3 linked regions of the Rattus norvegicus genome follow. The protein of the gene in region 2 purifies or fractionates together with the protein of the main gene of each other region. This does not show direct contact. Links are inferred from orthologs where the notes say so. Each region holds a gene or a part of one and is shown on either strand. Other genes may lie near its edges.

What was found.
Region 1: the proteins of Ppp1cc (region 2) and Tanc2 purify together in Homo sapiens (affinity purification with mass spectrometry; 3 studies listed by BioGRID and IntAct, counting the BioPlex papers as one, with this or other methods). This does not show direct contact. The link is inferred for Rattus norvegicus from reciprocal best matches to the Homo sapiens genes PPP1CC and TANC2.
Region 3: the proteins of Ppp1cc (region 2) and Pfdn2 purify together in Homo sapiens (affinity purification with mass spectrometry; 4 studies listed by BioGRID and IntAct, with this or other methods). This does not show direct contact. The link is inferred for Rattus norvegicus from reciprocal best matches to the Homo sapiens genes PPP1CC and PFDN2.

Annotation. Positions count from the first base shown.
Region 1 is NC_086028.1:91,047,945-91,057,763, forward strand, and holds the start of Tanc2 (protein TANC2), read left to right. Parts: upstream 1-5,122; 5' UTR 5,123-5,378; intron 5,379-9,819. UniProt on the Homo sapiens protein: Scaffolding protein in the dendritic spines which acts as immobile postsynaptic posts able to recruit KIF1A-driven dense core vesicles to dendritic spines.
Region 2 is NC_086030.1:40,055,293-40,064,959, reverse strand, and holds the start of Ppp1cc (serine/threonine-protein phosphatase PP1-gamma catalytic subunit), read left to right. Parts: upstream 1-3,658; 5' UTR 3,659-3,911; coding exon 3,912-3,966; intron 3,967-9,667. UniProt on the Homo sapiens protein: Protein phosphatase that associates with over 200 regulatory proteins to form highly specific holoenzymes which dephosphorylate hundreds of biological targets.
Region 3 is NC_086031.1:86,300,609-86,310,524, forward strand, and holds the start of Pfdn2 (prefoldin subunit 2), read left to right. Parts: upstream 1-5,219; 5' UTR 5,220-5,229; coding exon 5,230-5,304; intron 5,305-9,916. Other genes in the region: Dedd (death effector domain-containing protein), read left to right, coding at 312-688; Nit1 (deaminated glutathione amidase), read right to left, coding at 2,020-2,283, 2,958-3,083, 3,218-3,351, 3,561-3,664, 3,769-4,026, 4,423-4,518, 5,086-5,087. UniProt on the Homo sapiens protein: Binds specifically to cytosolic chaperonin (c-CPN) and transfers target proteins to it. Binds to nascent polypeptide chain and promotes folding in an environment in which there are many competing pathways for nonnative proteins.

The DNA.
Region 1 (9,819 bases), on a different chromosome or scaffold from region 2:
TGAGAAAAAAATTTAGTTTATATCAACTTTTCAGAATATCTTGGGGGGGAGGGGGAATAAAACTCCAGAGTGCTTGCTTACTGTACAAGGTCCTAGGTTCCCAGTGCTGTAAGAAAATCGGGATTTGGGGTTGGGGATTTAGCTCAGTGGTAGAGCGCTTGCCTAACAAGCACAAGGCCCTGGGTTCGGTCCCCAGCTCCGAAAAAAAGAAAAAAGAAAAAAAAAAAAAAAAGAAAATCGGGATTCTTCTTTTTTTTTTTTTTTTTTTCCGGAGCTGGGGACCGAATCCAGGGCCTTGTGCTTGCTAGGCAAGCGATCTACCACTGAGCTAAATCCCCAACCCGAAAATCAGGATTCTTTAACTGTAAGTGGACTAACATTTTCCTCAGCCGGTTTATAAATCATTTACATTTTATACATCATTCACCGAGGGTAAGTGATAGAGGACAGGGTTTATGTTTTGGGCCTGAGCTAGTCAATTTCAGTTGACTTGACACAAAGCAGGGTCACCTGGGAAGGGGGAGCCTCTCCTGAGGAGTTGTCTTCATCAGATTGGCCCATGGTGGCATTTTCTGGCCCGTGGGCACTGGCTATGGGGGCATTTTCTTGATTAATGGTTGAGGGCCTAGCCCACTGTGGGCAGTGCTACCCCCTAGACAGGCGATTCTGGACTATATAAGAAAGAAACCTGAACAACCCAAGGAAAGTAGGCCAGTAATCAACATTTCCCCATGGTCTCTGCCACAGTTCCCACGTTCAGGTCCCTGCTTTGAGCTCATGTCCAACTTCCCTCAGTGGTAGATTATGGCTTCAGAGTGATAAAATAAGCTCTTTCTCTCCCTAGTTGGGTTTAGTTAGTGTTTATCATAACCAGCAGAGAAGGACAGTCTGTGGATTGTACCTACATGATTATGTAGCGTGATCTGGAAAGTTAAGCCATTTAACCTCAGAGCCTTCCATCTAAAACTTGAGGCTACTCATGCGATGTTAGGATTGAACAGGGAGGAATTTTGAAGACAGCAAGCAATAGGTGCCCAGTCAGTTGTGACTATTACTGTCTGTACAAGAGGGAAGGTTAGAGGAAGAAAGGTGGGCCTGGTGATTTATGACTTCAAGATGTCAGGGTGGACACCAGCACCGCCCAGTGGGAATATAGGATCTGGGACAAGTGCCCATCTAGAGTAATCAGATGTAGAAAGGGCATTTGGGAAGATACAAATGGTGGCACTGGACAGGTTGGAAGGTCTGGGCAAGGTTAGGGTACTCTGTGCATTTATTGCAAGAGATTTTACGTAACACTGTAGAGGAATCTTAATCCAGCAACATACAGCTTTGACAAGGGATCATAGCCAAGATATGACCTGCCAGAATACAGCCATGCCTTGGATTACAATAGTACATGCCTTTAATCCTTAACAATGAAGGTAAGGTTAGTTTGTAGAAGGAAGCAGCCATGTTTAAAAGTGATGTATGATTGAGGGGCAGAGAAAGTGACAAATCAGAGACAGGTTTGACAGAATGAGTCAGAGACAGGATATGCCCAACTCTTATGAGAATAGCACAGGAAAGAGAGGCCAAGAGGAGAGAGAGAGAGAGAGAGAGAGAGAGGAGACAAAGAGACAGAGACAGACAGACACACAAAGGGAGAGAAAGAGAGAGGGGGAAGGGAAAAAGAGAAAGAATGCTGTGTGGTGGTGGTGGTAGTGTGTGTGTGTATATATGTGTGTGTGTGTTGTGTGTGTGTGTGTGTGTGTGTGGTAATTTTACATAAACAGGTTATAGAGAGAACAGGCTAGACACAGGTGAAGATAGAATGAGCCAGAGAATGAGAAGGAGATTAGGATATATTGCCAAAAGTTGTATGAGGCAGGCAGAGCAATTCAGTCAGAAGCCCAGAGAAGCATGACTGAATCAGTCAGCTTGGAAGATTAAATTGTAACAAGGCTAAGATCTTCAAGACTTCAGCTTAGCAATAGTTTAAACAGAGAAGGAAACATTCTGGTCTCAGCCCAAGGTACTGGGCTTAGGTACTTACTGATCACATCTTATCCCTCCTGAGGAAACAAAAGTGAAATTTACAGGGCATATATTGGTTTCCCAAATTAAGTTATAGACTAAAATACCTTCTTAATGAGAATGTGTTTTTATTAAGTAAATATTAGATTCCCAATATTTTGAATATTGATTATAGGGAAGCAAAGGGAATCTGCTAGAGGGGTTGAGGAGAGAGATGGCTTCAGTGTTGTTCTCTGCCTCTGCTGGACCACATTCCTACCCTTAGCAGTCACATATTGTTTCCTTCACAAAGTCAGACTGTAATAATAAACTCCTAGGCTTGACTGCAGGGTTATGTGGGAGAGCACTGGGTGAAGTACGTTGATGACCAGAACAGAAACTGAGCTCATTCCGGTGGACACCAGCACCGCCCAATGGGAATATAGGGTCTGGAAAAGGTCAGTCAAAAGAAATGAGTTCAGAGGTGCTTTATTGGAGCAAGAGACCATGTGGGTTACAGCTATCAGCAAGAATCCAATAAAGAGATCAGCTGCTAAAACTGGATGATTACAGTGGTGTTCCAATTGCCAGGAAAATGGGTTTAAAGATTTTCATTTTGTGAATTATTATTAAACCCTGTAAAAAAAGTTGCAAACAGATTTAAAAAGGGAATAACAGACATATTATTTCTTTTAAAATATTATTTTTTAATATGTGAATATCTGCATAAGCATAATATAACCAACTTTAGGGCTGGTAAAATTGTGTCAAGTCCATATGGCAGAATTCAATCTACCAATATTTCATGGTGCTCCACAATGAACACCATAATTTCTAGGTGCTGCCACCTGAACTAGTTTGAAAAGCGACATATTATACCCCTGACTGCCTTATTATTTCTCAAAGGAAGGAATGTTATTAGCTTCAGCAAAACTCACAGGGAAAGACTTAGATACAAAATAATCTGTAAAATAAATGAAAAGACTAAAAGAGGAGGATGGAGGGTAAACTCAAGTGTAAAAACAATGTAACAGTTGGTATTGTTCCATGGACACTCTATTGGGCACTATATTCTATGCTAAATATTTCTCAAAGTTTTGTTTAAATTTCATAACCATTCTGTGAGGTATCATGACCCATTCCAGACAGATGAAGAAAAGACGTTTCAAAGACTTGCTTAAACTTATATACCAAGGTAAGTGGAAGGTGACACTGACCAAACCTGTTTTCTGACTCCGAAGATAAGCATCGTAATGTTTCAATGTGAAACTGTTGAAATGTAACGTTTCTTTGTGGGCTAAAGCCGAAACAAAGACACAGTTTCCTTTTAAGGAGTGTATGCAGGTTGTGACCATTAACCAGTGTTGACCATTCTAATAATCCAGAAGATTCCCCTCTGATGACCCCTTCACCGACCTCAAATATAAGTTATTAGTACCCTACTCATATCACCATGGGTAGGTAGGTTTTAGTTAGACTGAATTAACTTTTGGAACTAGTACCAATAGTCCATATGTCAGCCTTTCACTTTGCCGTGCTAACCATAAACATTCTTCTGAGTTCTACCTCAGAGTTCTCAATTTTTCACTGGAATGGCTCGCTTTCCGATATGACTTCATATTCATTTTTTTTTTGGTATTGCACTGAAATTGAGACAATTTTTTTTTTAAATCGAAGAAATTATACAACAAAGTGCTATGGGATTGGGGTAGACTCAGATGAACTGTTATCAAACTAACCAACCAACCAATCAACCAACATCTTCACCTTCTAAACTGCACTGAAACAACGCCCTTTATTGATGCAATTTGTGAATCTATTTCCAATCATGGCATTTCATTAGGAAGCAGATGACGAAAAAGTCATCTCAGTTAATGGAACGGAAATTCACCCAAGCAAAATATGCAACGGTGATTGCTTTGTATCATCTTGCAGCACGTGGGGAAATTTTTTTTTACTCCAAGAATCCTGCCAAGTTGAAGGGGTGTTTTCGGGGTGTGAAGGGAAGGAAGCAAGCTAAAGAAAATCTAGGCGGAGAGTTTGGGGAGAAACATGACTGAATATCCTCCAATGGGGTCTTAATGTGATGACTTTCTATTCTTTGCTGGGTGCCTTGAAATCACATTAGTTCTTATTCAAGCTGGTAATGACAGAGGCAGCATGGCAACTTTACCGAGTCTAGCAAGCTAAGGTTAGAGAATTGTCAGCAATTGTTCTAGGTGACAGTTTTCTTTCTTCCTCTCTATTATCCTTACGCCTACCCTACCCTCCCCCCGCCCCCCCCCCCGCCCGAAGCCATTGTTGTTTTTCCTCCCATCCCTGTTCCAAAGGCAACGGTGGCATCCTGAAAGCAGTCTACACGCTGCCACTGAGAAGCAGGAGAGGAATAACTGACACTTGTTGGCGTCGATGACTTTGAGTGACACGTGTGCCTGTGGTGACCAAAGTGGGGGACAGTCTAGAGGAACGTTCGGGCTATCAAAGGAGGAGGAAAGGCCCCCAGAAGTGGGCGCACGTGACAGCAGCAGCCACCTCGAGAGTGACATCATCCCGAGGGCGGGGCCAAACTCTTCAGGGCCTTGTCAGCTCTTGAGCTTCCTCTCCTCTTCCTCACCAAATGCCTTCGACCCCACCAGCCCAAGCCCCCTGAGGAAACCAGAAATGCCTACACGTCCTGCAACGCCAGGGCCCCCTCTGTCAGCGCAGCGCGGGGGTTCACCACCATCCTCTCTCGCAACGCCTCCCCACCCCCAGGCCGTGGAGGGGCAGGGGGCGGGGGCGCGCGCGCTCCACCACGCACGCGCCCCCACGCACGCGCTCTCCCTCCGCGCTCGCGCTCCTCCCCAACCCGGCCCGGAGGGGGCGGGGCTGCGGGCGGCCTCCGAGGGTGCGACGCCCCCGGCGCGGCGGCGGCGCTAGAGAGCGGCCGGCCGGGCGCGGGTTGCTGGGCGCGCGCTGCTCCGGCGGGGCCCGCTGGCCACAGCCGCCTCGCGCCAGCCGCCCGCCCAGCGCGGCCAGCTGCGAGCGCCGCTAGCGCGGGGCCCCAGGCGGCAGGCGCCGCGCTCCCTCCGCCGCCCCGCGCGCCTCCTCGGGCGGCCCCGCCCCCGTTCCCATCCCCCTCGCGCTCACCTCCCGGCTGTGCCGCGCGCGAGGCGGAGCGAGGCGCCCGCCGCCGCCGCGGTGCTGAGGGGCGAGCCTGTCCCCGCGCCTCCGCTGACAGGAGGACCGCTGCGGGCTGCCAGCGCTCGCCGGCCGCGAGGCCCCGCCGAGCCCGACTGAGGCGCGGATCCTCCGTGGGGCGTCCGCGGGCCGTGCGGTCCTCACCGGAGACCACTGGCACGCGGGCTTGACCCCGAGGTGCGCCGCGCCCCTCAGAGCGGCAGGTAAGGGCTGGAGGAGCAGGGAAGAAGGGTCGGTAAGGGTGAGGTGACAGGGGCGTTCTCTTGCGACGCCTCAGCTGCGGGGTTGGGGCTGGGGCGAGCGGGGAGACAGGGAAACGGGCAGTGAAGTGCCTCCGGTGTCGAAGGCGTGGGGAAGGCAGGCTGCCTCTGAATGTGGGATCGAGGGCGGCTTCGGAGGACTCCTGGGGTCTGCCACTTGGCTGTCACCGAGGTTAGTCTTGGTATTGGGTACCTGGAGAGTCTTGGATGACGGGGACCGGGATGAGATGCGAGGCAGATTGCTAAACGTGGCAGGGAATGTGGTGCAGAACGAGTTGCAAAATGTGTCCCTGAATGCAGCATAAAAGTAGTTGTGAAATGTGCCAGGTAAAGGCACAGGCTAGGCTGGCCTCCGTGGCATAGAAATGCATGGAAGAAGTGTTATTAGGGATATGAATAATTCCTTTGGGGAAGGAGGTGTACTATAATAAAAGACTAATAGGGCTCTTTGCTACATATTCTGTCGTAGGAGATCGAGAGGAGCTGCGATTTTTGACATAGGGAAAGTACCCACGTGAAAGCAAAAAAAAAAAAAAAAAAAAAGCAGATTGTCTGGTTGTGAGATGGGAAAGAAAAAAATTGGGCAAAAATCATTTCAGGTTTTGTCATCAGCAGGTAGAGCACCCATGCAATTGTAGCCTGTCTCTCGGTTCCAGGTGTGGAATGTTTAAAATGTTTCCCAGAAAACATAAACAATGATCATTAGCATTAGGAAAAGATTGGATGTCTTTCCTTCTCTCTCTGCTTCTCTCCAGGAAAACAAAAAACCCCACAAACAAAAAAAGACAACCAAGCCAAGCATCCTGACCACAATTGTGTGCTCAGGATCCTTAGGCAAAGGGAATGATTTTTCATCTGTGTCCGTGCCTTGGCTTTTACACAGGTGAAAATAAGTGGAACAAGGAAAACAAAACAATATGGTGAACAAAAGGGATAAATTTTCAGGCATTTGGAAGGGTTGGAGCCAAAAGCTATGGCAGTGGCTAATTACAGAGACTGGCAATAGTGGAATATTCTGGTATGTTTTAGCTGTTGAGATGGGATGATGAGATAAGATAAAAACGGTATACAGTAAATTGGCATAAAACGCAGCAACATGGACACTGTCAATGTAGTGTTCCTTGTAGCGTTTACCAGGTAAATCATATTAGGGATTCGAGGGAAAACCAAAAACAAATGAAACAACTGTTCCTTATCTTTCTTCCTCCTTCCCTCAACCCCATCTTTCTAAGTGTGTGTGTGTGTGTGTGTGTGTGTGTGTGTGTGTGTGTGTGTCCACATGCTGCAAAACGCTGTGACTTCATTTAAGAACATCTGTGTTTGGAGAAAATTGTCAGAACATACTGTAATTTCAAAAGTAACAAAAGACAGCTAGATGAGCTATGTAAAAATAACATGTGTATACATTGAGTATCTGTGTAACTGAAACAAAAGCAGAACTATCTGATGCGTTCACCAGGATGTATTTAATTATTAATGACACTTTAGTGTGTTATGTTGGAATTCCTATAAATCGAATTACCTGTGTGAATGTTGTTTTTATTATAGTGATTTCCCAGATATCTGAAAATTCATACTGATTGGCTTTGCCCTGACTCTAGATTCATTCATCGAGGGATCATTTCCTTCAAAATCGAAATTGGATTTTCCTTGATTAATTCTGAATTTTAGTCTTTTCTGTAGATATATTTCCCTTACCTTGAGGCTCTGTTGAGGCTAAAGAGAGAAGAAGGCCAGAAGAGAATAAAGAGCAGTTAGTTCTGTTGGGTCTTCCTGTTTTGTTCTGACTGTAAGCCATATATGTACTGCCACCCCCTACTGTCTGTAGGAAGAGGTGTTGCAGAACCCTGTTCTTTTCTTGTTCTCACTGCCCCCTTGTGTAAGGGAAGAAATTGATAGCTGCACTTTTGGGAAACAGTCTTCAGACCGTTCTTTATCACTGGAGTGGCTATGCAGATTGATTAATCACTTGTTTACTTTAAAGTGCATGGCTAGGAACATATGTTAGCCAGGTCTGAGATTTAACGTCCCTTTAGATAGTATGTGATATTAGTCGATTCTGATTGCTAAAAATGTTTACAGTATGTTCTAGAACCTGGGATTCTATTACTTCTAGTAATAGGTTACATTTATATAGCACACACTTTGTGCCAGTCCTGTACATTGTTTATACAGTTACAAAATCCTTTTGAGGTATATATTGTTATTTCCATTTTACCCAGGAGAAATGGAAACAGATCAATTTGCCAAAGATTATGTAGCTGGGAATTGGAAATGCTGTTTCAATTTAGAAACTCTGCCTCCAGACTCTGGCTGCAGACTGTCCTTCATCACTCTCTTGGATTGTCCCCTCACGTTAGGATTGACAAGATGTACTGGGCTTAAAATGCACAGATCCATCACAAAGCAAATACTTCAGCTGTGGATAAACTGTCTACACCTATGTAAAGAATGATTATAGTGAAAAATTTCTTTTTAGGTATTTGTTTTTAAATTCTTTTTCTGTGATTATAAGCAATAAGTTTTCTTATTCAGAACTTTTCATGTGGTTAAAGGCATATCTATAGCCATGTTTTCTTTGAGGCGGATCTTTAGAGATAAAAAGTTACATGCAGGTAGTTTGATACACACATATACCTCATGGTATTTCTAAAAAAAGGACGGGTAAACTTTTATTGCTAAGTTTATTTGGAAAATCAAGAAGAAATTATTTTTCCTACATACTTACATTTTAGGATCTTTGTTTTAATGGGATTAGCAAAAGTGGGTTGGATCTTTTGAATAATCAACTCTTCCAAACAAATGTTTGCTCAGATTTTTCTTAGCACTTAAACCATGGTTTTATAGGTATTACTTATGCACAAAGACGAATAAAGCACAAAGAACAATAGTGCACTCCACACTCCTCACATAGCCTCACTCGTTTAGAAAGTAGGCTGTCATCTCTCACGACTGTGATAATTGTTTTCTTTGCAAATCATTTCTGCCATTCTGTTCACAGAAATGTTTTCTGGTTACCTTATGTCTCACATAGCTCATGTAACCAAACACTCTTTTACTTTGATATACATTTGTTGATATTATGGGTATTTAACGTATTAATTATGGACAAACCATTTCAGGATATAAAACTATATAACTTCTTATCCTCAAGAAATTGATTGAAATATAGACTTAGACTTGTACTGATAGACTTGAAGTTTGTACTGATAATATTTTACTTGTAATTTGGTTTGCATTTTTACTGTAAAAATTTATTAAACCTTCAGTGGTTTATGATAGTATCATTGACTTTTTTTTTTTTTGAAACAGCCCCAGTTGACACTGACTTATCCATTCTGTTGTGCGTCCATAGTGATAGATATTATTAAAGGCATGTGCCGCTTTGTCTGGCTGTTATTAATATTTTTCCTCCAGTGGTGCTAGAGATTAAACCCAGGGCCTTGTGTTTACTAGGCGTATATTCTTTATATTAAGCTACACTCCCAGCACTTCACCACTGAATTTTACTCCTGCCATGCTAGCTTTCCTTTCTTGCTATAGTTGACTTTATCCCGTTAGTATTTCCTAAATAATTATGATTTTTTGAATGAAGAAGGAAGTGGACTCTAAATAGGAATATACTAATAACAGGAGTTCCAAAGGGAAATACTGAAGTGGTTGATACTGAATGTATACTGTAATAATTATGCATTACAATGTATAAGATTCTTTGTCATATTATTTTTTCTTCTTGAAATACAGTTAAAATCTGAGGGAAACTACTTGGGTACTCTAGCTGAATTATACTGGTTCAGATTCAGAATCACCCAAAGTTAAGGAGAATATTTTTACTGATGGTACCCAGATTCCTTTCTAGTACTTAGAGCAAGCTGGTACAGGTGGCTGTTTATTTTTCTAACACAAATCTGAGCAAGGTAGCAAATACTGGAAGCTAGCTTAAGTATTAGACATTTCTTTTTTTCTCTGTGAATTAATTGATAACTTTTTAAATATTTGCTTAATATGCCTACAGTCATGAAATACTATTATTTGATAGGAAGATAATACTGTAAAAATAAATTTTTATGCTTTATTATATTATGAAGACTGTCTCTTGGCTTATTTGAATTGCACGTTTTCTAGTAACATACTAAATGAAAGTTATTTAAGATCAAAACAACAACAACAACAACAACAACAACAACAACAACAACAACAAAAACCAAACCAAACCAAACCAGAACAAGGAGCTAAGGTAATGGAGAATAAAATCCACTCAGGGATAAGCTGTGTCTGTGGGCTCTTGAAGCTGTGGAGAGAAACATTGAAAGTTTAAGGCTTAGAAGATGTGTTTTCTATTCAGAGTTCATTTTTCTCTTAGAGAATGTCTTACTGTGAGTCT
Region 2 (9,667 bases):
TTAAAAAACTGGGAGAGGCAGGGGTTGGGGTGGGGTGGCCTTGCATGCCCTTAATCCCTGCACTCTCTGGAGGCAGAGGCAGGAGGATCTCTGAGAGTTGGGGTTCAGCCTGGTCTATATAGCAAGCTTCTGACCAACCAGAGCCAGAAGTTTTCAGAGACCAATGTAAGCTCTGAGGACCACACAGAACTCAGATCTCTGCCTGCCTCTGATTGCCAAGGGGAATAAAGTCATGTATTACTACATCTGGCCTTGTGTGTGTGTGTGTGTGTGTGTGTGTGTGTGTGTGTGTGTGTATACATTGGTGGTTTTACCTACATTCATCTCTGTGTAAGGGGGTCAGGATCCCCTGGAACTGGAGTTACAGACAGGTGTGAGCTGCCATGTGGGTGCTGGGAATCAAACCTGGGTCCTCTGATAGACTAGACAGTGTTCTTAACCACTGAGCTCCCTCCCCAAACCTTGACCTTTTTTTTTTTTTTGGTTCTTTTTTTTTTTTTTTTTTCGGAGCTGGGGACCGAACCCAGGGCCTTGCGCTTCCTAGGTAAGCGCTCTACCACTGAGCTAAATCCCCACACCCCCCCCTTTTTTTTTAGTGGAACTTTTTTTGTTTGTTTTTCAGAGTTTCTCTGTACAGCCCTGGCTGTAGACAGCAGTTTGGCTGTCCTGGCTTTCACTCTGTAGAGCAGGCTGGCCTTGAGCTCCAAGAGCCGCCTGCCACTTCCTCCCAAGTGCTGGGATTGAGTGCCACCACCACCCTGAGGACTGGGGTAGGGCTGAGCTGGCTGAGGGCTCACCGAGCATGCCCAAAGCCCTGTTTTCTGTCTCCGGCACGGCATTCAGCAGGCTCTGCAGTCACACGTGGGATTTCAACATTCTGGAGGTTCAGGCAGGAGAATCAGTAGCTGAAGGTCATCCTGATAGCTAAGGGTTCCTGACAGAAGTTCAGGCTCTCGTCGTCGTGAGCTTCTTTCCTCTCAAGGGAGCCAGTCCTCTGAGGCGTGGCTATGGATTCTGTTGGTGACTTGTCTCTTGAGGTTGCCTGATAGAAATTGTCCCCTCTACCGGCTCGTCTGTAATTTTCCTTCAGCCCTCACCACATGGACCGAGTGACATATATACCTGCCGTTTGGCATCTAGAAAATTATGACACAGGGGCTGGAGAGATGACTTAGTGGTTAAGAGCACTGACTGCTCTTCCAGAGGTTCTGAGTTCAAATTCCAGCAACCACATGGTGGCTCACAACCATCTGTAATGAGATCTGATGCCCTCTTCTGGTGTGTCTGAAGACAGCTACAGTGTACTTATATATAATAAATAAATCTTTAAAAAAAAAAAGAAAATTATGACACACGGTGTGGGCATAAACATTTAGATCGTTCCATTGGCTTCCCCAGGAGTAACACGCACGGTATGGGCCAAGGTCTGCTGGGCTCCTAAGGCTGCATAGAAGGATTTATTAAACAAAAGACTGTGGTTTCAGGCTGCCCCAGTTCTAGTCCTGCCCCTTGGAACTTCGCTGTGTGACTTTCAGCAAACAACCCAGCCTCTCTATGCCTAACTTTATCTGTAAAATGGGAATGTTGGGAATATATCATCTCTAGGCTTGTACCAAGGACGCCATGAGCTGATTTTGTTTTGTTTCAGACAAGGTTTTGCTCTCAGTCTTGACCAGCCGGGAACTGGACTCAAACTCACAAAGATCTGCCTACCTCTGCCTCCCTGGTGCTGGAATTAAAGCCATATCTAACTCAGCTCAGCTTTGAGGTTGCTTTTTTTTTTTTTTTTTTTTTTTTTTGTCAAATGTTTCATTACATTTTATTTTGTATGTATGTCTGCTCAGAGGTCAGAGGACAACCTGTGTCAGGGATGGACCTCAAACTGGTTGGCAGACTTGGTGGTTATCACCTTTACCTGAAAAGCTGTTCAGATAGCTTCCACATTGAGACAGTTTCTGGTTCATACTAGGAAGGGTGGTGTGTGTTTGTCTCTCCATCCCACTAAATGAATCTCCCCAGGGAAAGAAAGGCTTTCCCTGTCTTACTCAACCTGCTCCACCCAGAATAGACACTCTAAATGTCTCCCGAGTGAATCTGGCTTACATATCCCTGCCCCTACGGTGTCCCGGGGAAGATACCCTGCCCTGGAGGAGTCCACGATCCCAAACAACTCCGTGAGGACCACTTTGACCTCCACAGATAGTCACAGCAAGGCCTGACATCGACTCCAGGATGTCAAGATGCCCGGTGAGCTGGTCCCCTTGGTGTTATGAATGACCATTTGTGTAACGGTGGGCAAAACCACAGCTTAGGACAGTGAGTTGGTGAGTGGGCAAAGTGGAGCAGAGGGCTGAGGGGAGCTGAGGCGAGTCCTGAAGTTCCACTGCCCGCGGGCCGGCAGGAGAAGAGGGGCACAGATCTGGATAGATCTGGATGGGTGCATCCCACACCACAATGCGGCGCCGTGGGAAGACAGAGCTTGCAGAAAATGAATCTCTAGATGGGGAAACCACCTCGCAAGGCATGCATGGAAAGGAGTCTTCCGATCCTTCCTGCTTTGAGAAACATGATGAACTGGAATGGGGACTGGGGGAGAGAGTACTTTGTAAACTCTGGAGTGCTACTGGGAGAGATAAATGGGTCAGATGGGTGTGCATTTCTTCCAATATGCAGCTAGCCTGAGTGGCAGCAGAGTTGGGGACCCCTGGGTGAAGGGGTGCCCCTGGGGAGTCGAGGAAGCTAGAGGCAAGCAGCCGCTGAATGTGCTGAAACCTGGAGCGCACAGCAGCCTCTAACATCCGCGTTCCTAGCGCGAAATGTGCAAATTCCCATTTTCTCTGCTCCGGCGCGCTCATTCAACCCAGCTCGGGCTAAATGCAGGGGAATCTCTCCGTTATTATTTAACTTTCTGAGTTCAAGGAAGACAATTTGAAAGATAGATAGCATCCCTTACAGAATTCTCCCAACCTCTCTCTAAAAATGTAAAATTGCAGAAATGCACACAAGAAGCACACACATTACCGAAATAATGTGCTACTCACGATGGATTAACATTTTGGGCTTATCTTGGGGTCTTCTTTTTTCCCCCAAATATTGGATCTTAGGTGCTTTATTGCAGAATTACTAAATCTTGCCAGTGCTGGGGCTTGAACCAAAGATCTCACACATACTAGACAAGAGTTCTTACCATGGAGCCGTGTATTTAGCTCTTCCTATTCACCAATGAGCCGGAATATTTGAATCCCCAACGCTCCAACCTCCTCCTCTTTAGGGTACTCCACGGGCAACCCCACCCCAGATTGGTTCCGAGGGGTGACTCCCTAATGGGTTCCCACCCGGCCAGGTCGACCGACTTCTGTCTCAAAGCAGCAGAGTCGGGAGGAGAGGGTGACCCTTGCAGCGCATAGCCGCCGGTCAATGCCCATCTCCAACTCGCGCGCGCCAACTTTGCAACTTCACTCTCCCGCCACGGGGGGGTCTATTTCCCCCGCCCGTTTGGCGGAAGGATCCCGCGCGCTGTTGCAGCGTCGCTCAACCGTCTCTGCCCGGGCTCCGCCCCCCGTGGGCCAAACCCCGCCCCCTCCTGCAGATGGCCCCGCCCCCTCCCGCGCGCCCTATGGGCCTGTAAAGAAGTCCCGGCCCGGCCGCTGCACTCCCGCGCGCGCATCCGTGCGCCGCCCGAGGCTGGCCTGAGGAGTCGGCGGCCATTTTGTTCTTCTCGTGGTTCCAGTGGCGAGAGGAGGAGGAAGCCGGGAGCGGGGCGGCTGGGGGGGGGACCCGCCGCGGCTGCTGCTGCCACCGCCGCCGCCACCACCGCTCGTGGGGCTCGTGGCGTGAAGAAGGAGGACGAGTGAGACCCGGGCGCGAGCCGGCGGCGGCGCCGCTGCGGGAGGGTCGGCGGCGGGACGGCGATGGCGGATATCGATAAACTCAACATCGACAGTATCATCCAACGGCTGCTGGAAGGTGAGCGGCGCGCGGGCGGGCGGGCGGGCGGCGGGTTGGGCCGGTGGGGACCAGGCCCAGTAGAGGCCGGTCTTTCTCGGGAGCCGCTTGGATCTGGGGCGCGCACACAGCGCCTCCCGGTCTGGGGACCCTGCCTTTTTGTCACCCCCCTGCCCTTGCTTTCACATTCTCATTATCCGGAGTCCAAGGACCCATCAGTGTGACTTGGCAGGGCGACGTCCCAGTGCGATGAGAGCCCGTCTCCTTCATTTTCCTCCCCCAACCCCCCCACACCCCAAAGCCATCCTCCTCCCTCCAGTGCTCTTTCCCCTTGAACGTGCATCCGCACACGGACCCAGCCCGGGTGACTGTGGCTCTCTGCTCATCAGATTGTTGTCCTGAGGACAGGGGGACGCTGCTGCGTTCAGCGAGCACCTGCCAGGTAGGTGCTGTTATCCTGGAAGTGTGTTTCGCAAGAGAAACTTCAAAAAGACCTCGCTGGACCAAGGATGCAGTTAACAATCAGGTTTAAAACCCCGGGTTGCCAGGACCGAGGTAGAACCTGCCACCTTTCCACCGTTCACCCTGTGGGAACACAGAATTTCCAGTGGTTGAGTAAAGGTTAAAAATACAGCTTTCCTTTTGTCCAACCTGGGGCGGGGGGGACGGCTCTGCAGTGGATTCCTACTTTCGATATTCAGATTTTACATAGGTCTGAAAACCTGCTCCTCACAAATCCCACAGCGTATCTGCTAAAGCTAAGGAGAAGGGGAATCCAGTAACCTTCTTGCTTTCACTGCTTTTGCCTAAAATATTGGTGGAGTGGTGGACAGCTGCTTAATTCTGGTGGTAGATGTTTTCAAGTCGCTGAAAGAAAAGTCAAAAAGTGTGTTTTTTGTTTTTTTTTTAAATGGTCATTTCCCCCTCTCTAATGCTGTGTTCTGTTTTGTTTAGATAGGGTTTCTTGGCTTTGGTTTTATAGAGACATGGTCTCTCCAGTCCTGGTTATCCTGGAGCTCCATGTGTGGACCAGGCTAGCCTCAAACTCTCACAGATCTTTCTTCCTCCCCCTCCTCATTGATGGCATCTTCTGTATCACCATGCCTCCTAGATACAGGGTCTCAGGAGTCAGAACTGGCGTTAAACACTGATCCTTCTGCCTCCTCCCAAGTACTAGAATTGTATAGACCACTAAGCCTGACTTACTTGTTTTTTCCTGTGGAATGTGTGGGATGCAGGCAGACCACAGCACACATGTGTGTGGATGCAGGCAGACCACAGCACACATGAGGAGGTTGAGAGGACAGTTGGGTGTAGTAGGTTCTCTCCTGTTGTTTGGATTCTGGGAATCAAACGCCGGTCAGGCTTGCAAGGCAGACTTTCCACTGACTAAACCATCTCATCAGCTTCCCTTTCTCCCTCTTTAAAAAAAACATTTTCTATTTGCAAGAATTTGCCTGCATGTATGTATGTGCATCATATGCTGAAGAAAAGGGCATTGGGTCCTTGGGTACTGAAGTTACAGGTAGACCTGAACTATCACGTGTGGGTACTAGAAGTGGAGCCCAGATTGTCTCCAAGAACCGTCATCACTTCAGTCCCCCAACCATCTACCCCCATCTCCCCGTTTTCTGGCTGGTCTCTGTCTCAGCTGTCCACAGTGTTGGAATTAAAAGCTTTCACCACACCTGGCTTCCCATAGTTTCTTAGTTACTTTTTAAATTTTGAGACTGGATATTGCTGTGTCCCAAAGGCTGGCCTGGATTTCAGAGATCCGCCTGCCTCTGCCTCCTGAGTGCTAGCATTCAAAGCTGTACTATCATGTCTGGCCTGATTTATTCTTTTCTGTTGAACTTAACAGAGTAAGCCACCATTTAAATAACATTGAGAGTAACTAGCTGTGTAGTGCATGTGTGTGTTTCTTACTTATGGAAGTGCTTGACAGAGGCCACAGGGATCTGATCAGAGGATGATGGGATTGCATTCTTTGTAATGCCCTCAGAAACGGCTCTGCGGGTTTTGGCTCTTGTCCTTAATTCTGAAGACTCGATTTGATCTTCAGGACCCACATGAGATTCAGGAGAGAACTGGAGGGTTGTCCTCTCCCTTCCCTCCATCCACAACTGCTCTAGCAAGTGTGGCGCTGCACACATGCACACACACATAAGAAGATATAAAAGGAACTACGGGCCTAATTCTGAAAGGGAGAGATAAGATTTGTCACCTGATGAAGCGGTGTTTCTCCATATTGGTAATTGATACCTTTCAGTCAGGGCAGCTTGCTTACCCCCACACTGGAGTGTGAGGCATGAAAAGCCAGAAGTTCTAGGGCAGGGTAGCAAGAGCTCATATGTGGAACCCTTCCGTAAGATCGTCCAAACTAGGGCTGAATGAAGGAGTTGAGAAGGGGGTCTTTTAAAGGTTAAGGCGGCACTGAGCACACACCTTTAATCCTAGAAGGAAGAATTAGGAGGCCAGTCTGGTCTATATACCAGATTCCACACCAGTCAACTATATGTAATAAGACCCTCTCAAAAACAAAACAAACAAAAAACCCACAAACCAAACCAAAGGCTGAGGTCTAGAGGGATGGCTTAGTGGATGAGAGTGTACATTACTCACCCAGGCCATCCAAGCTCAGCTCCTGCACTCAGCAGGTGCCTCAAGGCTTGTTACTCCAGAACTGGGGTCAGACACACACACACACACACACACACTCACACTCACACTCACACTCACACACACGAATACATTTTAAGCTGGGCATCGTGACACATGCCTTTAATCGAAGCACTGAGAAGCAGAGGCAGCTTGATCTCTGAGTTAAAGGCCAGTCTGACTTAGAGATGAGTGCTAGGCCACCCAAGGCTAAGTCATGACCTGGCATAGACCTGTAGTCGCAGGCACTTAGGTAGAGTCAGGAGGTCAAGGCTAGCTTAGCTTCTACATGAGTTCTTAGAGGCAAGTCTCAACTACAGAGACAGACGGGAGACAGGGTTTGGTTCATAAGCACTACAGCTTTGCAGCACTCTAAATGCAGTAGTGTTTCCCTGAGCCAGTCACCCTGCAGGTGTGTGCCACTCCTCAGCGCCGTTAGCTACACGCGAGAGCAGAGGGACTTAGACAGAAAACAGACAAGCTGTGTGTGAACTTAGCACCCTGCTCTGCTATTTTGGTGGGAAAATGGGAATTGGGGTGTTTTCTTCGTGAAACTTGTAGCGTTTCTTGACTAGCACATGATTTTAGTTTGTTCACATGGCAGTGTGCAAGAAGGATGTTTGTGTAAAGGAAAGTCATTGTCAGTGTAGGCTGGGAAGTGGCTCTGCTAATACAGAGTGCTTGCCAGCTCTCATCCCTCTGAAGGCCCACCATTCTCTTAAGTAGCTTGTGCGTGTGGCTTTTCAGTGCTCCTGCTCTAGAGTTTCTAGAAAGCCAAGGGCCTAAATGAAAGATTTAAGTGAGGATGGTCTTAAAGCAATCCCTAAGCTGAGCAGAGGACACACAGCAGGATCATTAATAAGGGGCATCCTGCCCTCCTTGTGCGTGGATAGGCGTCTGTCCCCATACTTCACCTGGCAGGCAGAGCAGGACCCTCCCTCTCCTGGATCTGTAGGTGTGGGAGTCTTAAAAAATTCTAATTTGGGCGGGATATTGGTGGCACAAGCCTTTGGAGGCAGAGGCAGAGTGATTTATAGAGCTAGTTCAAGGACAGCCAGGGCTACATACAGAAACCATACCCCCACCCCAAGTATGACTCCCAGAGCCTTCACTGCCCTTTGCTTATACAAGGCTGGGCTGCAGGACTGACTAGGCAGGTGGGATGCAGCCAACCAGCTCTCAAAGAAGGCAGGTGTAAGGGCCATAGGGAGTGGGTTACGGGTGGTCAGTACACTTTAATGTCTGAGGGAAGTGTGTGTGTGTGTGTGTGTGTGTGTGAGAGAGAGAGAGAGAGAGAGAGAGAGAGAGAGAGAGAGAGAGAGAGAATGAGTGTGTTTCACTGCTTTGATTTATGCTGGGTTTTGTGGCATACCGCACGGCCTAAATATGAGGGGAGAAAGGTCAGATGGGAACTGCCTCATAACTGAGGAAGTACCACAGGATACTTGAAGTAAGGCAAATCCCATTTCCTTGAGCTGTATAATTCTGGAATGAATTTTGGTCTTCAGTCTTGAGGTCACAGTTGTGTCAAGAGTGTGAAGGCAGGGTACTGCCTTCTGATGATGTTTCCCACCTCTGTGTCCGGGTTACTGACATTCTTGCCTTCGAAGGGTGTGTTTTTAGGACCTACAGGAAATAGAAGCACATAGATAGGGTCCAGTGTGCAAGGCACTGGTGCTGAGATGTGTTCAGCTGGGGAACAATTCTCTTTCAAGACAGATTCTCATGCTGCCTTCCAGTTCCTACATAGCTGGGAATGACCTTGAACTCTTGATCCTCCTGTCTCCCACCACTGAGTAATAGATTGTAGGGTGACAGTCCAGGGTCTGACTTAAACAAAACACACTGTGATCAAATTTAATTAGTGTTCATCATAGAAGACTAGATGTGTCCTTGGGATATTTTTTGGTTGGAGCTTTTTAGCCACATCCTGGCTGCCCACATAGAGGAAATCAGTGTTATCCTTAAAGTCCAGAGTGTGCATGGCGGCGCAGTCCCCAGCCAGGTGGAGGAGGGGGTGTGAGACAGACAGTGAGGTAGAGCCATGGTTTTTTGCTGTTGAGAGGAAAGGGGGTTCTTGAAAAGTTTCTTTAGTTTACATATTTTGTAGAAAATACTTGGTTGTTTGCAAGAAAGTATACCGTATGGCAAGTACTAAGTTTGGTTTAAGATCTTTTTCTACGGGACTGGAGAAATGGCTCAGCGGTAAAGAGCAGCAACTGCTCTTCAGAGGTCCTGAGTTCAATTCCCAGCAACCACATGGTGGCTCACAACCATCTGTAATGGGCATGTCTGAAGTCAGCGACAGTGTACTCACACAATAAATAAATAAATAAATAAATAAATAAATCTATCTATCTTTTTTTTTTTTTTTTTAAGATTTTTTTTTCGGGGTTGGGGATTTAGCTCAGTGGTAGAGCGCTTGCCTAGCAAACGCAAGGCCCTGGGTTCGGTCCCCAGCTCCGAAAAAAAAGAAAAAGAAAAAAAAGATCTTTTTCTACATGTTTTTAAGGTACATTTTTAATTTTATTTATTTATTTTTAAGGGATCTCGCTTTGTAGAAAAAGCTGGCCTTGTACTCAGATCTGCCTGCCTGGGATGAACACTGGGTATGTGTGGCTGGTGGTGACTCAGGTTGTCTTCAGACAGCAAGAGCTGCAGACTTGCTCCTGTGCGGGCAACGCTCGGTTCCAAATTGCATTGTAATTCATCTGGTGCTTTGTCCTATCCTTTTTTTTTTTTTTTTTTTTTTTTTTTTTTTTTGTCCTATCCTCCTTTTTTATCTGATTATTTTTTAATTGAGATGGAGTTTCCTGGCCTAGGCTGGCTGGGACAGGTCTATGTAGATGAGAAGGCCCTTGAACTTCTGATCCTCTTGGTAACATGCCCAGTTTTATCCTGGGGCGGAACCCCAGGGCTTGGTGTATGATGGGCCCTAAGGGTTCTACCAACCCTGTGGAGGCTTTTCTGTCCCTCTGTATGCAGACTCCTAGTCTCCCTCCTGTAATGCAGTCTTGCTTGTTGCTAGGCCGTGGAAGGTCACTGCTGTCTGGAGAGGTACTAG
Region 3 (9,916 bases), on a different chromosome or scaffold from region 2:
AGTTACTATTAAAGGAATGCCAACGTCATCCTTATATAAGACGAACCAAGTCAAGACAGAGAATTAAACTGTGCAACTTTTTAATAAAACAGGCCTTCTAAGCACGGTGCTGTCTGTGAGTGACCTGAACACACTCATTGTAGGGCAGCTCCAGCGTTAAGGCCAGGGCTACAAGGACACAAGGAAGAACTAGTGCTTGGGGAGAGGTAAAGACATTGCAAGAGGAGGTCTCTGTGCTTCTTGCCTGCTTTTCTAGCTTTCATTGTAAACACAGTCATGTTTTACAACCATTCTCCTTAAATTTCTCCCAGACATCAGGCTGCGAGTTCGGGCGGAATACTGCCAGCACGAGACTGCTCTGCAAGGCAATGTCTTCTCTAATAAGCAGGACCCACTTGAGCGCCAGTTTGAGCGCTTTAACCAGGCCAACACTATCCTCAAGTCCCGGGACCTGGGCTCCATCATCTGTGACATCAAGTTCTCTGAGCTCACCTACCTCGACGCATTCTGGCGAGACTACATTAATGGCTCATTATTAGAGGCACTGAAAGGCGTTTTCATCACAGACTCTCTCAAGCAAGCTGTGGGCCATGAAGCCATCAAGCTGCTGGTGAACGTGGATGAGGAGGACTATGAGCTGGGCCGACAGAAACTCCTGAGGAACTTGATGCTGCAAGCATTACCCTGACCTTTCCCCGCCTCACCTTTCTGGGGACTGTTTGCTCCGTCACCTCTGGAGCCGACATACTGTTCTGGGGTTTGTTCTCTACCCTTTCCAACCAATCACACCGCCTTTTTTTTTTTTTTTTTTTTTTTTTTAAAGGAAAAGACAAAGGAAGGTGGAAGTGGTGTCCCTGCCCTCCCTGCACCCATGTGCCTGGGCTTCCCCGTTTCCTGTTGCCACTTACCCTAATGTGTGTCTACAGCCACCTTACCACTGAGCCGTAAGACAAGTGAATAGGGACAGAGTCTTTGGAACATAGCCTTTGTAAGGGATTGAACACTGCTTTCAGGTGCATTGAAGGGTAATCAATACTTATGGCTTTATGAGGGCTCATAAATTTTGTCTGAAAAACCAAAGGGCTGTGAGTAAAGGAGCTATGTGGAAGGTGGGACTCTGAAGTGTATTTTGGAAATTAATTACCACCTTCTTCCAAATTATAGAATTTTTTAAAAACAAAGAAGCTGTGGCCCTTTGCACTGTCTCCTGGCCTCGGGTGCTGCTCCTCTCCGCCTTCCTTCATCCCATAGCTTGAGACTGCTGCCTGGTGTGGATCCCTCCTTCCTCTGTCAGATCTTCAGCAGACTTATGGAGGGCTGTGCCAGCCTACTTCCCCTCCCAACCGTGATGTGTAGGTGAACACCACTACATGGGACGGGCGGAGTAGAGGCTGCTAGTTAGAGTACACTTTCTCTGAAAAGGAAGGGGCGGGGGCGTGACATTTCCCTCCCCTTTTCCAGTGAAAATAACAAACTCTTACCCCACCCAGGGCCCTGTCCCTTTGCTTCCTTCTGGCTTGAGAGAAAGTGGGGTATTTAGCATCAACTCCTCCTCCTGTTCCTTTATCCTCCCTTCTCCCACACTTGGGAGAACAGAGCTGGTCCATGCACTGAGCATTGCACTTTGTTAGGTAGGGAGGCACGTTTGAGCCAGGAGACTAAGAAGCCTAGTCGAGCAGGTACAATTCCACCTCCCTTCCCAGCCCCAAAAGAGATGTCCAGACATTATGATTGATTATTATATTTTTTTTCAATGCCAGTGCTGCTCAGCCCTCAGCACAACTTCAGTTTTCATGAAATAAACAGTGACTATATAAAATTTCATTTTTCTGAAACTGAAATCTGAGATCAGGTCAAAGTCTCTTCTTTCCCATGGACTTGATTGAGCCTGTGTTCCATTAGGAGAGTTAAGTCCTGCAAGTGAAGGGAACCGTGCTTGGGTCCAGCCTACAAGTCACGGTAGCATCACCTCACAGTTGGCGTGTGTTTGTCTGTCTCAACCAACAGAAATTAAAAACATTAGGAGAGTGGCAGGAGACTGCCATAAAGGTCAGGTCTGCGATGCTGGAACACAGGCAAGTGTTGGCGCATCTGTTGCAGAAAGTGGAGATCAATTCGAGCAAGGCAAAGGCCTGGTCCCTCGGAACAGCTGGCCACCACTGTGCCCCAGGGGTCAACCACCATGCTGTGGCCGTAACTTGCTCTTGTCTCATGGTGGCGTCCACACTGTGCTGCTGCTATCACGTAGCACTGAGACTCAATGGCGCGGGCCCGCAGCAGCACCTGAGGATGAGACGTGCGTACTCAGGAACATACAGCATTTAATAGGCGAGTGACAAGAAGCGGACACTGTGGGCCCAATCTACTCATTGACTATTGATCAACTAGAATTAGTAACTAACTATAACATGACTCACACCTATCTAAGAAACGAATTTCCTCACCAGATCGGAAGGGAAGAAAATCCTTCAAGTAGAAGGGGAGGGGTGTGTTTGTGTTTTGTATTTTTTTATATAAGGTCTCCTTGTATAACCTTGGTTGGCCTGGACCCACAGAGATCTGCCGGCCTCTGCCTTACAGTGCGGAGATAAAAAGCACACACCACCATGCACCACTATTTTGGGTGGTGTGGGTTACTTTTGTTTTGTTTTGTTTTGTTTTGTTTTGAGACGGTTTCTCTGTGTAGCCCTGGCTGTCCTGGAACCTACTCTGTAGACCAGGCTGGTCTTGAACTCAGATCCACTTGCTTCTGCCTCCTGAGGGCTGGGATTAAAGGTGTGCACCCCCACTGCCCAGCTTCTATTTTGTTTTCTGTTTTACTCGAGGCATCACTATGCTGGCTTTGAACCTGTGGCTATCCCCTGAAGTGCTTAGAGTTTAGGTTTGTGCTACTCTGTCCCCACTACTAAAAATAAGATTAAAGGAGGCCTATATGTTATGAAGAGGCATTCTCCTACCTCCCAGTGGGCTGGGCCGGTAACAGATCCAAAGGCTGAAGGATAAGTAAGTATTTCTGCCCCAGCTTGAGCCAATTTCAGAGAAAGTTCAGGGAACCGCATGTCATAACAGATTGCTAGACCAACCTGAAACGAGAAACAACCCACTCATCTTCCCTGTCCTGGTCAACGTAACATTGAATACTACCTCCATCATCCTACACCAAAGGGAGATGTTACAACTTTTTCAACATATTCCTATTTTCTTTTCAAACTCCTACCTTGCCTGCTGGTGTCTTGACAGGTGGTTCAAGAGCGTATCCAGGCATGGTATAGTTGCTTTCTCTCATAGGCCCCTGACCTGGGATCTCTACATCACATAGATGTGTCTTCCTGTAACTGGCCACTACTGATCCTAAAGTAAGAGAAAATGCTCAGTACAGACACTGGAAGTCCAGCTTAGCTCTTCTCCCAAAGAGTAATTTTTAGGCTAAGAACAGAAGCATTCAAAACAAAACAAAAAAACCCCTAAAGCCAAGCAGTTGAGAAAAATGCTGAAGATCTGAGTTGGAAGAAGGTAGATGAGCCTAGGAAGAGGCAAGCTGAAGGACTGTGAAGTCTCACCCTTGCTGTTCAGAAGCACATGACAATTGTAGATTTTCTGAGTCTGCTCCCAGTCTTGGCCACGCTCGTGGAAACCACCCAAGGACAGCCAGATTCCACATTCCCTGAGGGGGAGGGACACTGACAACTCTACCCCCTCTATGTGGCAATCCAGGAACACTGCCCAACAGGGATTCTACCCCTCCCCACCCCCACCCTACCCTTGTACCTGGCAAGCTGGCTATATTGTCCCAAAAGGTCCCCATCCAGTGGTTCGGACAGGAGTAATGTCTCGGCAGGATTTCGTGCAATAAAGTCAAATGCCTCAGGCAGAAAGGCCAGGCAAGCGCCCAGTCTGGTAGCCTCTTGAACCAGCTCAGCACACGTTTTAAAGTTCTCTTGCTTGTTTGGTGTTGATGTTACCTGGCACACAGCCACCAGGGGCAGCTCCCAGGAAGTCGATGAGGACTCTGCCATGGCTCTGGGCCTGTGAATGACACAGGCAGTTTTCTCAGGATTTCTACCGCGTGCCGCGGAGAAACTTGGGAGGCTCAAGTGGGGGTGGAGCCGGAAACTTACTTTTTTTTTTTCTGATTTTACCTCCCCTTTGAGACCGGGTCTTTTTGTAGCCCAGGCAGACCTTTCTATGTAGCGGGGATGATCTTAAACTCCTAGTTGATCCTCCTGCCTGTTTCCCGAGTGCTGGGATTAGAGGTGTGTCCCACCAACCCTAGCGACTTGTTTTCATTCTTCCAGAGCATTAAATAACCCTAAGCTACTGGAGTACACGCATTAAATGTTTGGTGGATGGCAGGTCCACTATTCGGTTAATAAACATGGACTTAGCAACTACGTGCTAGACAAAGAACATAAAATATGTTACCTGGGCTGAGTACAAAGTACTGAGATTTGAGGTAATCGGTATCCGGTACACAGAAGGGACAGGAGTTGATGAGGAGGCCTGGTGATGAAGCCCAGCCTGAAGAAGGTGAAAAATCAGGACACCTAACCCTCCTTCAAGCTGTAAGTTTCTAGAATTCTCTGCCATTTCCAGACCTGGCCAGTAATCCCCTCCCCCAAGGCTTCGAAAACACTTTACTACTAGTAGTTATGAGATCATAAAATGGGAAAATGGAAGAGGACACTATGATCGGTGCCTTAATACCTCAACTTCCAGTGATCTCACATTAAAACTGAAGCCCTTTTCCTCTGCCAAACGTTTCCGCAGTTCAAGTCATCTCATGGAACCTTCCTCGTTTCCCCAATTCTCTCTTCTCGGCTGTGCCACCTGGACAGCTTTATAGACTCAACATGTATCTTTCCCCTTGTACCAGAATCTCAGAAGGAAAGTTCACCCTCCTTAGATCTCCACCATTCTCGTGGTGGGTAGGTAGATGGGTACAAGATCAGATCCCAACCCGAGCCCCCGCCCTCTGATTAGCGCGTCCTTCCCCGGCTCTCCCCGGGGCAAGAATCTCTGTTGCACAAGTTAAAGCATAGCAGGTGGAATTCACCGCAGCAGGCAGGGTTGGGGAGTAGGTCCTACATGAAGACACAGCCAAAACCATTCGCAGGGTCGGATCTGAAGAGCTGCCAGAAGCCAGAAGCGCAGGAGCAAGTGGGCGGTAACCACTAGAGCGGATGTGACGCAGTGGGAGTGCGCAGGCCGGAAAGCTTGCAGGTGGGGAAGATGGCGGACAGCAGCGGTCGTGTGGGCAAGAGCGGCGGGAGTGGCACGGGGAAGGGGGCGGTGTCGGCGGAACAGGTGAGGAACCGCGAGCGTAGAAGGCACCTGGGTCGGTGTCGAGTTCGTGCAAGGAAAAGGACTTGTGATTCAGAGGGGCCTTTAGTCCTTCCCACGTTCTCCGTGGTCACGCACAGGGGAGAGGGCGTTTTTGGGGGTGATCACAATCCTTTCTAGGGCGTGAGTAGGTGGGGTAGGTAGGTGAGAGGCACGCCCGGGGTGTGGGTGGGTAGTCGAGAGAGAAAGCTCTTAGATGCAGGATCTGGGAGGGTTGTCCAGGTCCCTAAGGACATGGATCGTCGTCTCCCCCTCTACGAGGTACCCTAAAGAGAATATGGTGTTTGAAGTGTCATCTAGTAACGAATCCCAGGCTGTTCTTAGTCAGTGAGTGGGTTATTTAGTCTTTGACTCCAAAACCGTGTTCACCATCACAAACACGCTGCAGAGCCACGTGACTCAGACTCTGACCAGTTTAGTGTTCAGTAACTATTTGGACTAAGGAGACTGTGGCTTAGTTATTTTCTTGTTTTGTTTTGTTTTTGTTTTGTCTTGGGGTGGGGATGAGGGTTGCTATAGGGTCGGGCTGGGTCGCTCTATGTAGCCTTGCTTTTCTGGAATTCACTATGTAGACCAAGCTGGCCTGGAACTCACAGAGATTCGCTTGTTTCTGCCTCCCAAATACTGGGATTATCTGGGACTACTATTCCTGGCTCGGGTTGTTTTCGTTTTTTGAGACATGGTCCAGCTCACTCTCTATGCTCCCTTCTGCAGAGACTTAAGTTTTCAGAAGAGGCTAGAAACCATTTTCTAATGCAGGTGTGATTCTGCTCTTCATAACATCGGGATACATCTGACGAATTAATCAGAAAGCCCTTTGTGGTATAGGGACCATGTTTTGTTAGTCTTGGGACTAGTGTTTAATTGATATTAGAAGAACACACAATTGGGGTTGGGGATTTAGTTTAGCTCAGTGGTAGAGCGCTTGCCTAGGAAGCGCAAGGCCCTGGGTTCGGTCCCCAGCTCCGAAAAAAAGAACCAAAAAAAAAAAAAAAAAAGAAGAAGAAGAACACACAATCGAAATGAAAATAGTTGAAGCTAGGGGTGTAGTTTGGTGGGTTAAATGGGAAAGCCTTGAGGTGTGGGGTCTGGGTGGGTGTCTGTTCTCACCTGGTATGGAGGTCCAGGGTTGGGATTGAAGAGCTATTTTAATCATATATTTGTCAGTTGCTTGTTGAGCAATCACTGCAGGTAAAAGTATCAGCATAGGGACTGGAGTGGTGGCTCAGCCGTTAAGAGCACTGACTGCTCTTCCATGGGTCCTGGGTTCAAATCCCAGAAACCACATGGTGACTCCCAACCATCTGTAATGAGATCTGATGCCTTCTGGTGTGTCTGAGGATAGCTACAGTGTACTTATATATAATAAATAAATACATCTTTAAAAAAAAGTATCAGCAGAAATAGTTTAAAACCCATACTGTTGGAGAGCATCGTCTGTTGAAGTGGGGTTTACAGTTCTACTATGAGTCGGAAAGTAAGTATTCAAAGAGAAGTGACATTCTGGGGATGGAAGAGGCACCTTGACAGTGGGAAAGAAAAAAAGTAAAGCTTTTGAGAGTCTGTCTTGTGTTATACTTTGCTTAACACAGAGAAACAGGTAAGTGAAATAGACTTTATCTTAAATTTGGACACAGCCAAGTGTGATGGCTCATACCCATAATCCCAATGGGTTACCCTCTCAGTTCCAGGCTAGCCTAGGTTACAGAGTGAAACACAATCTCAAAAACAAACAAGACAGACAGAATGGCAAATAAAAATGAAACAACGAGACTTCAAAAATATGTTATGTATATTTGCATGTCTGAGTGTGTGCATGTACCACACCTGTGCAGGAGCCATTGGAGGCCAGAAGAGGGGTCCAAGCCCCTGATAACTGCTTATTAGCTACCATGTGGGTCTTGAGAACCAAACCCAGGCCTTCTGCTATAGAAGTAACAGTTCTTCCACCGAGCCATTGCTCCAGTCCTTACACCAAAAACTTCTGCACATGATTTCTCTTCTTACTTTTTACCCTCCTCTATCTGTGAAAACATGTACTTCCCATTTCATAACTATTTAGTGTACTAGGCAAGAAAATTCATTCGACACCCTCCCCCCCCATCACCATGACTAAAAAACAGAGACTACAGAGTGTGTTGACTAAATGCTAGTTAGGGGTGGAGAGATGGCTTCTGCACTTGAGCACCTCATCTCACACAAACACATACATACATGCACATGATCTGAACAATCTTTCTAAATGCTAATTTGTTTTTATTTTCTAGAGGATTCTTCAGCTTAATTCTAAAGGCTGAGGAAAGTTAGTCAATGTGAGGATTTTTTTTTTTCGTTAGAAGAAATGTGTTCATAAGCCTTGAGCCATGAACTGCCCGGCCTTGGAAATGCTGGAAGATTTAAAAGAGCTGTATTGCAAGACTTGAAGAAGACACAGTCAGCCTTGTTGTTCTTTGACACAAGTTTTTTTCATGTGGCCTAGAACTCACCAGCCAGGCTAGGATGGCTGGCCAGAGAGTCCATTGACCCTCTCTTCCCCAGCACTTGGATAACAAGCCTCAGAATTTAAGTTCCCTAGCATTCCATTGCCAGGCAGTTCATGCCTCAATACCATACCTCCCCCACCCCCCAAGTTCTCAAACTCTGGTTCTTTGGTTCTTTACCTGTGGAACTTTTCTTCCCAATTTAAGTGTTTGTCACTGATACAAATTCAAGCCTGATGTGACTTTCACAAGGAAGATAGGAGCAGGTCATACTTTCTACTAGGCCCTTGTTTTATTTTCGGTTTATCCTATTTCTATTTATTGTTTATTGGTTTGCTGCTGTTTTATCTGAGAGAGGATCTCCCTCTGTAGCCCTGGCTAGCCTGGAACTTGCTATGTAGACCATGCTAGTCTAGGGCTTGTGGCATTCTTCCTGCTTTGATCTCCCAGGTGTACCACAGCACTTGGAGGAGTGAGTGCGCGCGCGTGTGCGCGTGCATGTGCGCGTGTGCGCGTGCATGTGTGCGTGTGCATGTGTGCGCATGTGCCAGCCAGCCACCCACATGCGTGCCTGGTGACCTTGGACTGTGGGGGTCAGAGCATTGGATCCTCTGGAGTTAGAGACAGTGATAGTTATGGGTTTCCATGTAGGTGCAGAGCCACAAGTGCTGCTGAGCCATCTCTTTAGCTCCCCCAAATCGAGACACATAAACATTATGTACACACATATAATAATGAACTAAACAACTGAAAAGCCCTGCTGCAAAGTAGATTGTGATGTACACGCCTGTAAGAGATCCCCTGTATTTGGGGGAGAGGTAGAGAGGCAGGATTAGGAGTTCAAGTTCGGGGTTGGGGATTTAGCTCAGTGGTAGAGCGCTTGCCTAGCAACCGCAAGGCCCTGGGTTCAGTCCCCAGCTCCGGGAAAAAAAAAAAAAAAAAAAAAAAAAAAGAAAAAAGGAGTTCAAGTTCATCCTCAACTAAATAGCATATTTGAGGCCAGTGTGAATCTCAAAAAGACAAGAAAATTCCTGTCACTTGTCAAAGTTCAACAGGTGTTTCGAAGAGGACAGAGCCTACTCAAACACTGCTTTATACCCCTTACCCTCCAAACTCATGACCTTATAATGTAAAATACAATCATTCTGTCCCAGTAGTCCCCAGAGTCTTACATTGTTCCAGTACTAACTCAAAATTCCAGGGTCAGTTGTGAGCCTGTGCAATGAGAGTAGCATATGCACGTTCATCATGTAATGCAGAGGCAGGCAGAGGGTAGACATTCCCGTTCTAAAGGAGAGAAGTAAAGCCAGGAGGAGGCTTTACTGTTAAAGCCTTAAGTCTGAATTCCGAGAGGGCAGGCATGGTCTTACCGTTCTATGATAAATTATCCCTATATATGGCATTTGGAAACTCTGGGGCAGGAATTGGGCCTCTAAAATACTAGACAGCTCCACAGGGCACAGTCCATGCTTCATGCACTTGGGCTGGGGGCATACCAGTGCCTGCAGCTTGCCCGGTTAGGCACTGTCCACTGACAGTTGCTGTACTATTAGAGATCATGGTGGCTGCCTGGCCTAGGGCTTGTTCCAGTGAGGATTCCCCGACAGCTCCCATTCCTACATCAGGGTTTTCCTTGCACCCCTGTTTAACCTCCCACAGTCCAGTGCATCTTGTGAAGTTTTGGTAGAGGAAGCCATTTCTCCACAGCTCTTGCATTCTGCATGCCTCCAGAATTAGCACCACGAGGCATAGATACTACCACAGGTTACTGCTAGTAATGCTTTCTCCAGCTGCAGTACAAGCTGTACTTGAATAAATAATGGAGCATGCTGGGATGTGAGGAGCAGAGGCTAGGTATACTGGGCTGTGAGTTCTTTCTGCCCTTAAGACCCTAGCTTTTGGTTCCATGATTGGAAAGACAGCCAGGGTCTCCAAAATGCCTTCGGAACGTTTTTTGTCATTGTATGGTAAATAGTAACACTCAGCTTTCTCTGTCAGTGCTAATTTGTGCACTTGCTTGGTAAACCTCTTTGGGGGGGGGCAGGTTGGGAAGGGAGGGAAACAGGTTTGCATTTATTTATTTTGTGTTTGTGGAA